2 linked regions of the Xenopus tropicalis genome follow. The protein of the gene in region 2 purifies or fractionates together with the protein of the main gene of each other region. This does not show direct contact. Links are inferred from orthologs where the notes say so. Each region holds a gene or a part of one and is shown on either strand. Other genes may lie near its edges.

Evidence for each region. The genes of interacting proteins can lie anywhere in the genome.
Region 1: the proteins of sclt1 (region 2) and kiz purify together in Homo sapiens (co-immunoprecipitation; 3 studies listed by BioGRID and IntAct, counting the BioPlex papers as one, with this or other methods). This does not show direct contact. The link is inferred for Xenopus tropicalis from reciprocal best matches to the Homo sapiens genes SCLT1 and KIZ.

Annotation. Positions count from the first base shown.
Region 1 is NC_030681.2:36,356,686-36,361,978, forward strand, and holds part of kiz (centrosomal protein kizuna), read right to left. Parts: intron 4,445-5,293; coding exon 4,289-4,444; intron 1,460-4,288; coding exon 1,321-1,459; intron 1-1,320. UniProt on the Homo sapiens protein: Centrosomal protein required for establishing a robust mitotic centrosome architecture that can endure the forces that converge on the centrosomes during spindle formation. Required for stabilizing the expanded pericentriolar material around the centriole.
Region 2 is NC_030677.2:64,010,417-64,015,709, reverse strand, and holds part of sclt1 (sodium channel and clathrin linker 1), read right to left. Parts: intron 5,022-5,293; coding exon 4,930-5,021; intron 4,359-4,929; coding exon 4,181-4,358; intron 4,056-4,180; coding exon 3,957-4,055; intron 1-3,956. UniProt on the Homo sapiens protein: Adapter protein that links SCN10A to clathrin. Regulates SCN10A channel activity, possibly by promoting channel internalization.

The sequences.
Region 1 (5,293 bases), on a different chromosome or scaffold from region 2:
AGGTTAATTTGTTTCGCTCCTAAGGGCATGTTCCAAGGCCACTCTCCTAGGAAGGAAAAAAGACTCCAAGGCTACTCTATTACTAAGTGAAGAACACTTTAATAAGCGATTAGAGGACAATGTAAATCTCCGAAGTACAAATGAAAGTGAAACTACGGAATTACATCAGCCACATAAGTGTTTGGTCATGTAACCAGGATTTTTCTATCTTGCACTAAGCTCTGAAACCAAAAACAATTTTTAAATGAAAAATTTACAGGTATAGGATCTGTTATCCAGAATGCTAAGGGCCTGTGGTTTTCTAGTTAATGAATCTTTCTGTTGTTTGGATCACCATACTTTACGTCTTAAGAAAAATCATTTAAACATTAAATAAACCCAATAGGATTGTTTTGCCTCCAATAAGGATTAATTATATCTTAGCTAGGATCAAGTACAGGTATGGGATCCATTATCCAGAATGCTCAGGACCTGGGATTTTCCAGATAAGGGGTCTTTCAGTAATTTAGATCTCCTACTTTATGTTTGCTAAAAAAAATTATTTAAACAGTAATTAAACCAACTAGGATTGTTTTGGCTCCAATAAGGATTCATTATATCTTAGTTGGGATCAAGTACAAGGTACTGTTTTATAATCACAGAATGTAAATTTTTTTATTAAAATGGAGTCTATGGGAGATGGCCTTTCTGTAATTCGGAACTTTCTGGATAATGGGTTTCCGAATAAGGGATCCGATACCTGCACAGGTACTTTTTTATTATTACAGTTAAAAAGGAAATCATTTTAAAAAAACTGAACTATTTGATTAACATGGGGTCTATGGGAGATGGCCTTCCTGTAATTCTGAGCTTTCTGGATAATGGGTTTCCAGATAATGGATCCCATACCTGCATTTAAACAAAAAAAAGCAATAATATATGTAAATAATTATTAACAGTTTCTTATTTAGAGAACAAATCATTACAAAGTCTAATATCTACAAAGCTAAACTATAAACAAAGAGGTCAGATAAAACATATCAAATTAGTGGATACTTGTCATAAATTGAGAAACAATAAAAGATGCAGAAAGGTATGGGAAAATGGGGCAGAGTGAATCACTGAACAGGTATCATAGGGGAACAGAGAACTCACACCACAGAGAATGTATCAGACAGTGAAAGCCAAATGATGAAAATGTGAAGTGTATAACCACTGGAAGGTATGGATGCAGCTAGAAAAAGCAGGAATCTGAAGTGGTGTTGTTTACTGGTGCTTACAACCTACTTCAAGTAAAATGGAAGACTGACACCAACAATCATTATTAAGTAAAGTTCTAACCTGGCAACTGTTTTGTCCATCATTTAACATGATCAGGGAGGTAAAACATTCAGGTAGAATATTTTCATTCAAAACATGATGCTTATTTAGGAATGCAACATGATCAAGCAGTCTTTCCTGCAGTAATCTTGACACTGACCTGTTCGACAAAAATAGAACACATCTAGTTAATACAGCTAAAAAATGTATGTTTTTGGATTAGGCAGCTATGAAGGCGGAGAGGGTGGTAAAAAAGGACAAAAGCTTGCTCAACAATATAACAGAACTGTGGAGTCTAAAGCATTTTTGGCAAAAATGTACCCACTTTGACCCCTAATAAATTCAAATTGTAATACAATATGTTACAATATCCTTTTCACAGATAAAAGTCATAATTAAGTACTTCTCTTCTGTAAGGATACAGCCCAGTGTGTAGTTGTTTTACTAGTCTGAAGTTTAGCTGAAGTCCAACTGTTATAACCTTAACCTTTGTCTTTAGTTTTAAGGAATGTTTGTAGTTTCATTAATAAATAAAATAAAAAGCCACAATGACATAGGCTTAGTTATAGATTTAGACTCAAACTTGAACAGTATCCTCATTCATGTTGACAATGACAGACTTAAATGGCCAATAGGGTAGTGCATCAGCTTCTTAGCCAGTAGCTCTTTGGTTTGTTCACAAAACAGACACCGTTAGTGCTTAAAACGTCTGATCTTTTTCAATAAATACTTTATCTTTTTGCAAAGTCCCTGTGTGTGCGGCTCTCACTGTGTGTACTGGAGTTCAGTTGGAGGGGTTGAACTTAATGGACTTTGATGGAGTTAAGTCTACTCTATGTAGATAAAGCATACCCCCCAACTGTCCTGCTTTGGGCGGGACAGTCCCGCTTTTTATAGTGCATCCCGCTGTCCCGGATCGTTCCATGAATGTCCCGCATTTCTGTAACATTCATGGAACGATCCGCGATAGCAGGATGCACCTGCTGAAGCTGAGCGCTCCTACTCCATGCGCGGCTTCTCTCCTTATGTGGCGGCTTCTCCGGCGGTGCCAGGCCCTTTTATAAGGTTGCGCCCCGTGCGTACTGACGTCACGCGGCGCAACCTTATAAAAGGGTCTGGCACCGCCGCACATGGAGCCGCATAAGGAGAGGAAGCGAAGAAGCAGTAGGAGCATGTATTGGGGGGGAGCTCTGTGTATTGGGGGGGGGGCTCTGTGTATTGGGGGAGCTCTGTGTATGAAGGGTACTGTGTATGGGGGGGCTCTGTGTATTGGGGGAGCTCTGTGTATGAAGGGTACTGTGTATGGGGGGCTCTGTGTATTGGGGGGAGCTCTGTGTATGAAGGGTACTGTGTATGGGGGGGCTCTGTGTATTGGGGGCACTGTGTATTGGGGGCACTGTGTATTGGGGGGCACTGTGTATTGGGGGCACTGTGTATTGGTCCTGTGTATGAAGGGCACTGTGTATTGGGGGGCGCTGTATGAAGGGTACTGTGTATTGGGGGGGCGCTGTGTATTGGGGGGCACTGTATGAAGGGTACTGTGTATTGGGGGGCACAGTGTATTGGGGGCACTGTGTATTGGTACTGTGTATGAAGGGCACTGTATGGGGGGCTCTGTGTATGGGTGGTACTGTGTATTGGGGGGCACTGTGTATTGGGGGCACTGTGTATTGGGGCACTGTGTATTGGGGGGCACTCTGTATTGGTACTGTGTATGAAGGGCACTGTGTATTGGGGGGCGCTGTATGAAGGGTACTGTGTATTGGGGGGCACTGTATGAAGGGTACTGTGTATTGGGGGGCACTGTGTATTGGGGGGCGCTGTATGAAGGGTACTGTGTATTGGGGGGCACTTTGTATGAAGGGCACTGTGTATGAAGGGTACTGTGTATTGGGGGGCACTTTGTATGAAGGGCACTGAGTATGAAGGGTACTGTGAATGGGGGGGCACTGTGTAAGAAGGGCACTGTGTATTGCGGTACTGTGTATGGGGGGTACTGTCTATTGGGCCATTGGGGGCACTGTGTATGGGGGGCAAATCTGGTACATAGTTATAACTCACTTTTTATATGTAGGAGTTGCTATATTGTTTTCCTTAGATAATACAGTATGAGGGTATAGCACATTTGCATCTGATCTCATTATTTAAACTATATACTTGGGAGTATTTTTAGAAAAAAATGGGGTGTGTTAATTGGGGCGTGGCCACAAAGGTGGGCGTGGTCAAAAAATTTCTTTTTGTCCCTCTTTTCATTTTTCAAATGTTGGGAGGTATGGATAAAGTTCTAGGGCTGTTTCTGTAAGTTGAAGCGGTGAAAACTGGGATCGGAACATGTGCTGCCACTGCAGGTAGCAAAACAAAATTCTAGGGGGGAGCTGGTATTCTAGCCTTAAATCCTGAAACGTCTTACAGTCCCCATTCAAAGTTAAATCTGCTAATGTTTTCACCCCACCAGCTGTCAAGTACTGATTTCTGATACCAGACTAAAGTGGGGAAGAAACTTGTTTTCCCACAGGGGAGTACTTTTAGACCATTCCAGGTGGTTTTCATGTGCCATTTTTCGAGCTTTCTGGAAATTTTCTACTACTGTCTCTATATGGGTTGTAGTGTTTTAAATGCAAAGTTGTTTCCCAATAGGGTAGTTTGGCCAAGGCCTCAAGTGAGCCTTTTACCACAGCCACAATTACCGCTGCCTGGCTGACCAGTTTAGGCATTATTTACCAGTGGGCAAGTAGCCACTATATTGATATATAATCTTCATGCAATTCCATATATGAAGGTTCGGCAGCATCATCAATATGGAAACGTGAAAGATGCGCAGTGATCCAACAAAAACATGTTAATAAATGAATTATCACTAATGCACAGAGCTATAGAATCAGGTGCAATGAGTTTTAACCAAAATTAACTTTTGCCAAATTAAGGTTGTGGGCCTGACCATAGCTCTCTACTTGCAATGCAGCAGCAGCAATAAAATGGGTAAAGATACCTCTCTTTACTTGCTTCTGTACTGTGAGTGTCAGTAGTTCCTTCATGTAAGTATCCAGCCAATGTGCTCTTCAGCAGTTCCTGGACCTTGCACAGTACAAGTGCACAGCAGGCCTCAAGATCTTTAACCGTCAACTCTCTCATCTGGTTGCAAACACTGTAATACATATTAAAGGTATTCATCACCAAGAAGCTTATACGTGTCTAGGCAAAGGGTCTTTAAGGGGCAATATACTCCCTTTTCAACATGGTTTCATAAATAGGGCTTGTGATGAACATATATTTTGCCTGTTGTTTTAATTATGTTTTTTTAATGTTTTTTTGTTATTTCTTAAACTAAATAGGGCAAATGTGGAAACAGAAGCTACTTCATGTTCAATGTGGATAATTAAATTATCATAGTTTATATTATTCCCCTGCATAATGGACTTGTAAACTGGTATCTCCCACCCAAGGACCAAACACAGAGTAGGTACAGATTCAGTTTGCTCTGTTTAACTTAAGAAATAACAAAAATCATATTTTGTTTGTAATTAGAACAATAGGAAAGTGTATATTCATCGCAAGCCCTATTCAAGCCCTATTCATTGCCCCTTATAAAGGGGGTTTACTGCTGATAAATTGAACCACCTAATAATTTAAGCAAGTGCAAAATATTAGTGAAACAAAGGGATGCTCAAGGTACTTCTCATGGGAGCTTGTGATTAATTATTATTTTTAACACATATGTATAATGAATTCTAACTCAGCAAGGCAAACAGCGTGGCAGGTTCCAAAATATTTTCTTATAAACTTGAAAAAAATTATGTACAAAAGTAACTGGTGACGCATAATTAAAACCTTCACTGTACCCCTCAGACCCCTTATCCAGAAACCAGTTATCCAGAAAGGCCATCTCCCATAGACTCCATTTTATTCAAATAATTCACATTTTTAAAAATGGTTTGCTTAATCTCTGTAATAAAACAGTATCTTGTACTTGATCCCAACTAAGATATCATTTATC
Region 2 (5,293 bases):
TTCCTGTTACTGCAAATTAAACTCAAGTCAAAACCTGAATATCAAACATGCACAGAGGTCCTAATGTTTGTACTTCAAATGTACTTATGGTGACATGGCCTGTAAGGAGCAAACCCAAAAATGATAGGCTTCACCCCTCACTTAATTATGGAATTGTCCCTGTGGCCAACTATGAATCCAGACAGCTGGTTTAATAGCACAGATACAACCTAATAATTCAGAGCCACATATCCAAACTTACAAATTGCCTGTTTTGATCTCATCCAGTGCAAGATATTAGAACATGCTTCAGAGGGGGTAGGACTTGGAGAACAGCAAGAGAGATCAAAGTAGGCTGCATGCATGTTTGGATATATGGCTCTGAATTAGAAGGCTCTGTCTGTGCTACTAAACCAGCGGTTCTGGATGCATAGTTGGCCACAGGGATATTAAAGGAACAGTTCAGTGTAAAAATGAAACTGGGTAAAACAGAAAGACTGTGCAAAATAAAAAGATATTTCTAATATAGGTAGTTAGGCAAAAATGTAATCTATAAAGAGGCTGGAGTGAGCAGATAACATAATGGCCAGACCTCTACTTCCTGCTTTCAGCTCTCTAACCTTTTAGCTAGTCCATGACCACAGGGGACAAAATTATTCAGTTAGTTTGTCAGCACGCAAGTCAGATTCAAAAGCAAATTAACTGAACAGTTATGTCCCATATGGCCCCCCTCAAGTCACTGAATGGTTACTGACTGCTAACAGCTTAGAGAGCTGTCAAAGAGGAAGTATTGTTCTGGCTATTATGTTAGACATATTATGTTGGCTATTATGTCAGCCTTTATGGATTACATTTTTGGCCAACTAACTATATTAAAAACATTTATTTTTTTTGTGCAGTCTATCTATTTTCATTTTTACATTGAACTATTTCTTTAAAAAATTATTTGTATTTGTATTATAGGTATATTTGCAAGTATCCAGTATGTGATATACAGATATGTATCTAAATAATGTACACGTCTTATAGCTAGGTGCCACATCTACAGTCCATCATGATAAAGAGAACAGGAATTGGTTTGCATGTGGCATTCAGCCATTTTCCCCTAAAACTGTATTAATCAGCATATCCAAAACCAGGAACCATTGTTAGTTGTACACTTGAGCACAAATGGAACAGTGAAACAATTAGGTTTAAAATAAAAAAAATTAAATATAATCTAAAGCAAGCTTTTAGAAATATTGTGCAAGCTGGAACTAAGCATAAATAGCAATGGTGGTTATGAATAATGATAGTTTAAAAAAAAAAAAGTTTTATTATACAAATTAAAAAGAACTGATTATCATAAAAGCACTAAGTCTATAAATACAGGCCTCTTCTTATAGCAGAAGCCTGAGGTATCCTAGTGGGGTAGAGTTTTACTTCCCTGTGTTATGTAGTTAATACTTAATTAATCCCTAGGGGGAGTTCACTCAAGTGCATGTTTCTCTCCTCCCTAGAGATACAGCTCAGTAGTGTTCTAGCTAACTCAGGTAATCAATGCAACCATTTTTATAGTGCACTTATATCATTATAAGTGTTGTAACACTGTGGGGATGTATTCATTCTTGTTTTTCTATTGTTCCAGTAATTTCCCTGATTACTAAAGATATTTGTAAGGCTTGTTTTCTGAAAATGAAATGTATGATTATGAACATTTAGGGGGGCATTTACTAAGTTGTTTTTCTTTATTTGGATTTTTAGAGCTAACAGTTGCACCAAGAATATTGCAACTTTTTTGAGATTTACTATGCAACAAAATGGCTAAAAATCGCAATCCGTCATCCGTAATCCGTAAAAATTAGTCGGCTAACTTGCCAATTTTGTGCAGAAATCAATGGCAGATGTCCCCTCCCTTCCCTGGAGAATCCTTCTTTGCTACAAAACTTTAGAGGCTTTGGATTTTAGACGCTGTAGAGGTTTTGGAGTGACAATTTCAAACATTTTGCAGCTTTGTGCTTTTTTTTAGGCGACTTTTCCCACACAGACTATTTCATTTCTGACTGTTAAGTAAATGTCAGACATTAGTGGAAATGAGTTTATTTGAATTTCTAAAAGAAAATGAGAAAAGTTAAGAGTTTTAGCAAATATGCCTCTAAGTGCTATCATATAGGTATTTGTGCGTGGCCTGTATGCTGTTTTGTTCTTATAACAGAGCTCAGTTTCTTTAGATTGTCAAAATTGAATATGAAGCCAAATTTGTCTTTATACTTTGCTCCGCTCAAAAATGTGCAAACTGCTCCATCCTATTATACTCTACCTATGTCCTAGAAATAGAAAAAAATGTGCAATTCATGCCTTAGGCAAAGAAACAATAAAATTGCACTTAATAGGTAAGGCATACCTGCAAGCAGATTTAAAACAACATTAACGGAAGCAAAAATCCCTTCAGGAATATTTGATTTTTCTTCTTGAGGGACACTGATGTACAAAACTGAAGGGGAAATAGACTGAATTGTTTTTGGACTGACTGATATGACACATTAAAATATCTGACAAAAACAATAGGTAAAACCATAGGTTCAATGTAAGACTTAATTGCTTTTGTTGATCCTAGGTTACAGTGGTCTTTAAAAAGGAAATATTGTGTGTGTAATCTTTAAAATAACTGATCATTCATATCAGTTATTTGAAAGAAGTCACCAATAAGTGGACCATTGCCTGATTTTAACTCCCAAGTGCTGCACCAAATTTTGCTGACTTGATCATTTGGCCCCTGAGCTGTTGATCAAATGACATGGGGGGCACTGCATGTTCAGAAGAGCACTGTATCCATTGACTGATCTTTGCCTGATCTGTTACCGAACATCTGTCTGAGCCCCATGACCCATTTAAACAAATCCTTAGCATTTCTTTGAAACTATGTTAAAAAATACATTACTTGCCTTTACCTTTTTATTGAAAACCTTTTCAGATTGCAGGCTGCACAGATTTGAAACATTCCTGCCCAGAATGTTAAGCCCATGCTAGCACAGGATGTGACATTAAGTTCCTTAGATAGAGTTATTGGGTAGACAAATTATACATTTTTCTAAGACTCTGGCCAGAAACATTTTGGTAAACTACGATTCTCTGCTTAGTCAAGCCCCATTTGTTGCAAGGATTGTTGGTTAATGCTTATGACAATAGCCAGCACAAAATAGCATGCACTCGTCGGACTCCAAGACAGCGGATAAAAATTCAAAAAAGCTTTATTAAGGATAAAAACCTAACATGTTTCCTGTGACTGCACACGTATTCATTGGTACCTATGAATAGGTGTGCAGTCACACGAAAAACATTAGGTTTTTATCCTTAATAAAGCTTTTTTGAATTTTTATCCGCTGTCCTGGAGTCCGACGAGTGCATGCTGTTTTGTGCTGGCTATTGAAGTTGAATCTCCCCATGCTGCAGGTCTGGAGCATGGCACCCAGGCCACCAAAAGGAAGCAGTGAGTGAACATCCTGCATTTTGAATTTACAGAATAGCATAAATTCCCCAGAACGAAGAGAGAAAAAAGTGATAAGCGAAAGGTTCGGGGCATAAGCACCCGAACCTACTATTTAACTGGGTGAGCCAGAGCGCTAATTGAAATATAAATCAGTTTTTTTTATCTGTAGTGGGAAGGACTGTGAGCCCCCGAACAAACAAATAGTACAATGCTAATGACATTTTACAAACCTCTAACCAACGTCATGTGCCTTTTTACATTGTATATCTATACACCTAAATGTGATATTTTTGCTTACAGATTACTTAATTTTTCTACAGTTTATAATTTTCTATGTGAAACAGGGATCACATGTCCGTTTATTATTTGTCCAAATCTTTTGTGGAGGGTTCATTATTCAGCTAATCCAATAATTATGGTTTCAGTGCTGCCTTATTTATATAAATTGGTAAAAATACATTGAAATATGAAATACAAAAAGGATTAGGATAACCTTGAAATGTCTTACCTCTTTCCGCGTTCTTGCCGCAGCTTCTTGAATTATTTTATTCATGCCTTCTTTCATATTTTCAATCTCCTCTTCCTTTTGCTTTTCTCTTAGCAGAGCCTTCAAATATCAAATAGAAACTTCATACACATATGCACTGTGTAATATTCTAAAGAAAGAATATCATGTGTGTATGTGTATATATTACATATATAATATATATAATAATATATAATTTTCTATACCTGGTCCTTTTGTAGGTTAGCTTCTTCTAATATTTGCATACTGTCACGGACTCTGGAAACAGCATCATATTTCTCTTCTTCAACTTCTGCACATTTTGCTTGTAATTCCCCAATGTGCTTTTCGAGTGCAATTCGTTCATCTTTAAATTTTTCTACATCTTGGACAGCTACTTTTAGCCTTAAATAAAATGCATATATGCTTTATTGTATTATACAGCAAAAGCAATACAAATCATGCATTTATTCTTACTACAATAAAACAGATCTCTAAGATAATAAGTTATATTGCTAGCGGTTATCTTGATCTTCCTGATCTACTGTATACTAGGCTTACAGAAGCAAGTTGCACTTCCTACAGAAAAAAGATTGCCTTGTCATTGTAGTTATCTGTCGTTTCACTTGTATTTGAGTACTGTTGCCTGATACTTGCCAGTTTATTTGCTTGGAGTCTATAATTCAGAGGATTCTTTGACTAAAACTATGGAAATAGTATTTTTGCAACCTAAAGAAAATAATGTGCATATAGCAAGGGCTACTCTCTCTTTATGATTCCATGCCATAAACACCAAACCAAAGTCTTTGTAAGCATACAATGCCCCAGTACAATTTGCACTTCTGCTTTCCCAAGTATACTAAAGAAATATGGCACTGTTACATTGCAGTATGTCAATATAGTTTTGAGATTTGTTCATACATTGTATCTATGAGCAGTATGGGTGAAAGAAAGTTGATTATAATTCATTTCTTACCTGGTTTCTAACTGTGTGAAAGCAGACTGAATATGCTGAACTCGTTTTTCTGAAGCTTCCTCCTTTGCCTTAGCAGCCACCTCATCTTCTTCCTAATGGAAATAGGGAAAACCCCTGAACATTTTCAGCACACTGACATTCTGCCGCCAATGTAATATATCAGATGAAGCACTTCTAATATCCATTACCTGTATATCAGATTCAATATAATGCAATTCCTTATAATGCCATAACTTTAAACTACAGGTAAACTATGGTAAACTGTTAACTAGATAACCTTTTTTAAAATCAAATAGGAATACATATGCCGAAAAAAGGTTTTATACTGTTAATGTTGGCGCATGCATTTTTTTGATATTTTACT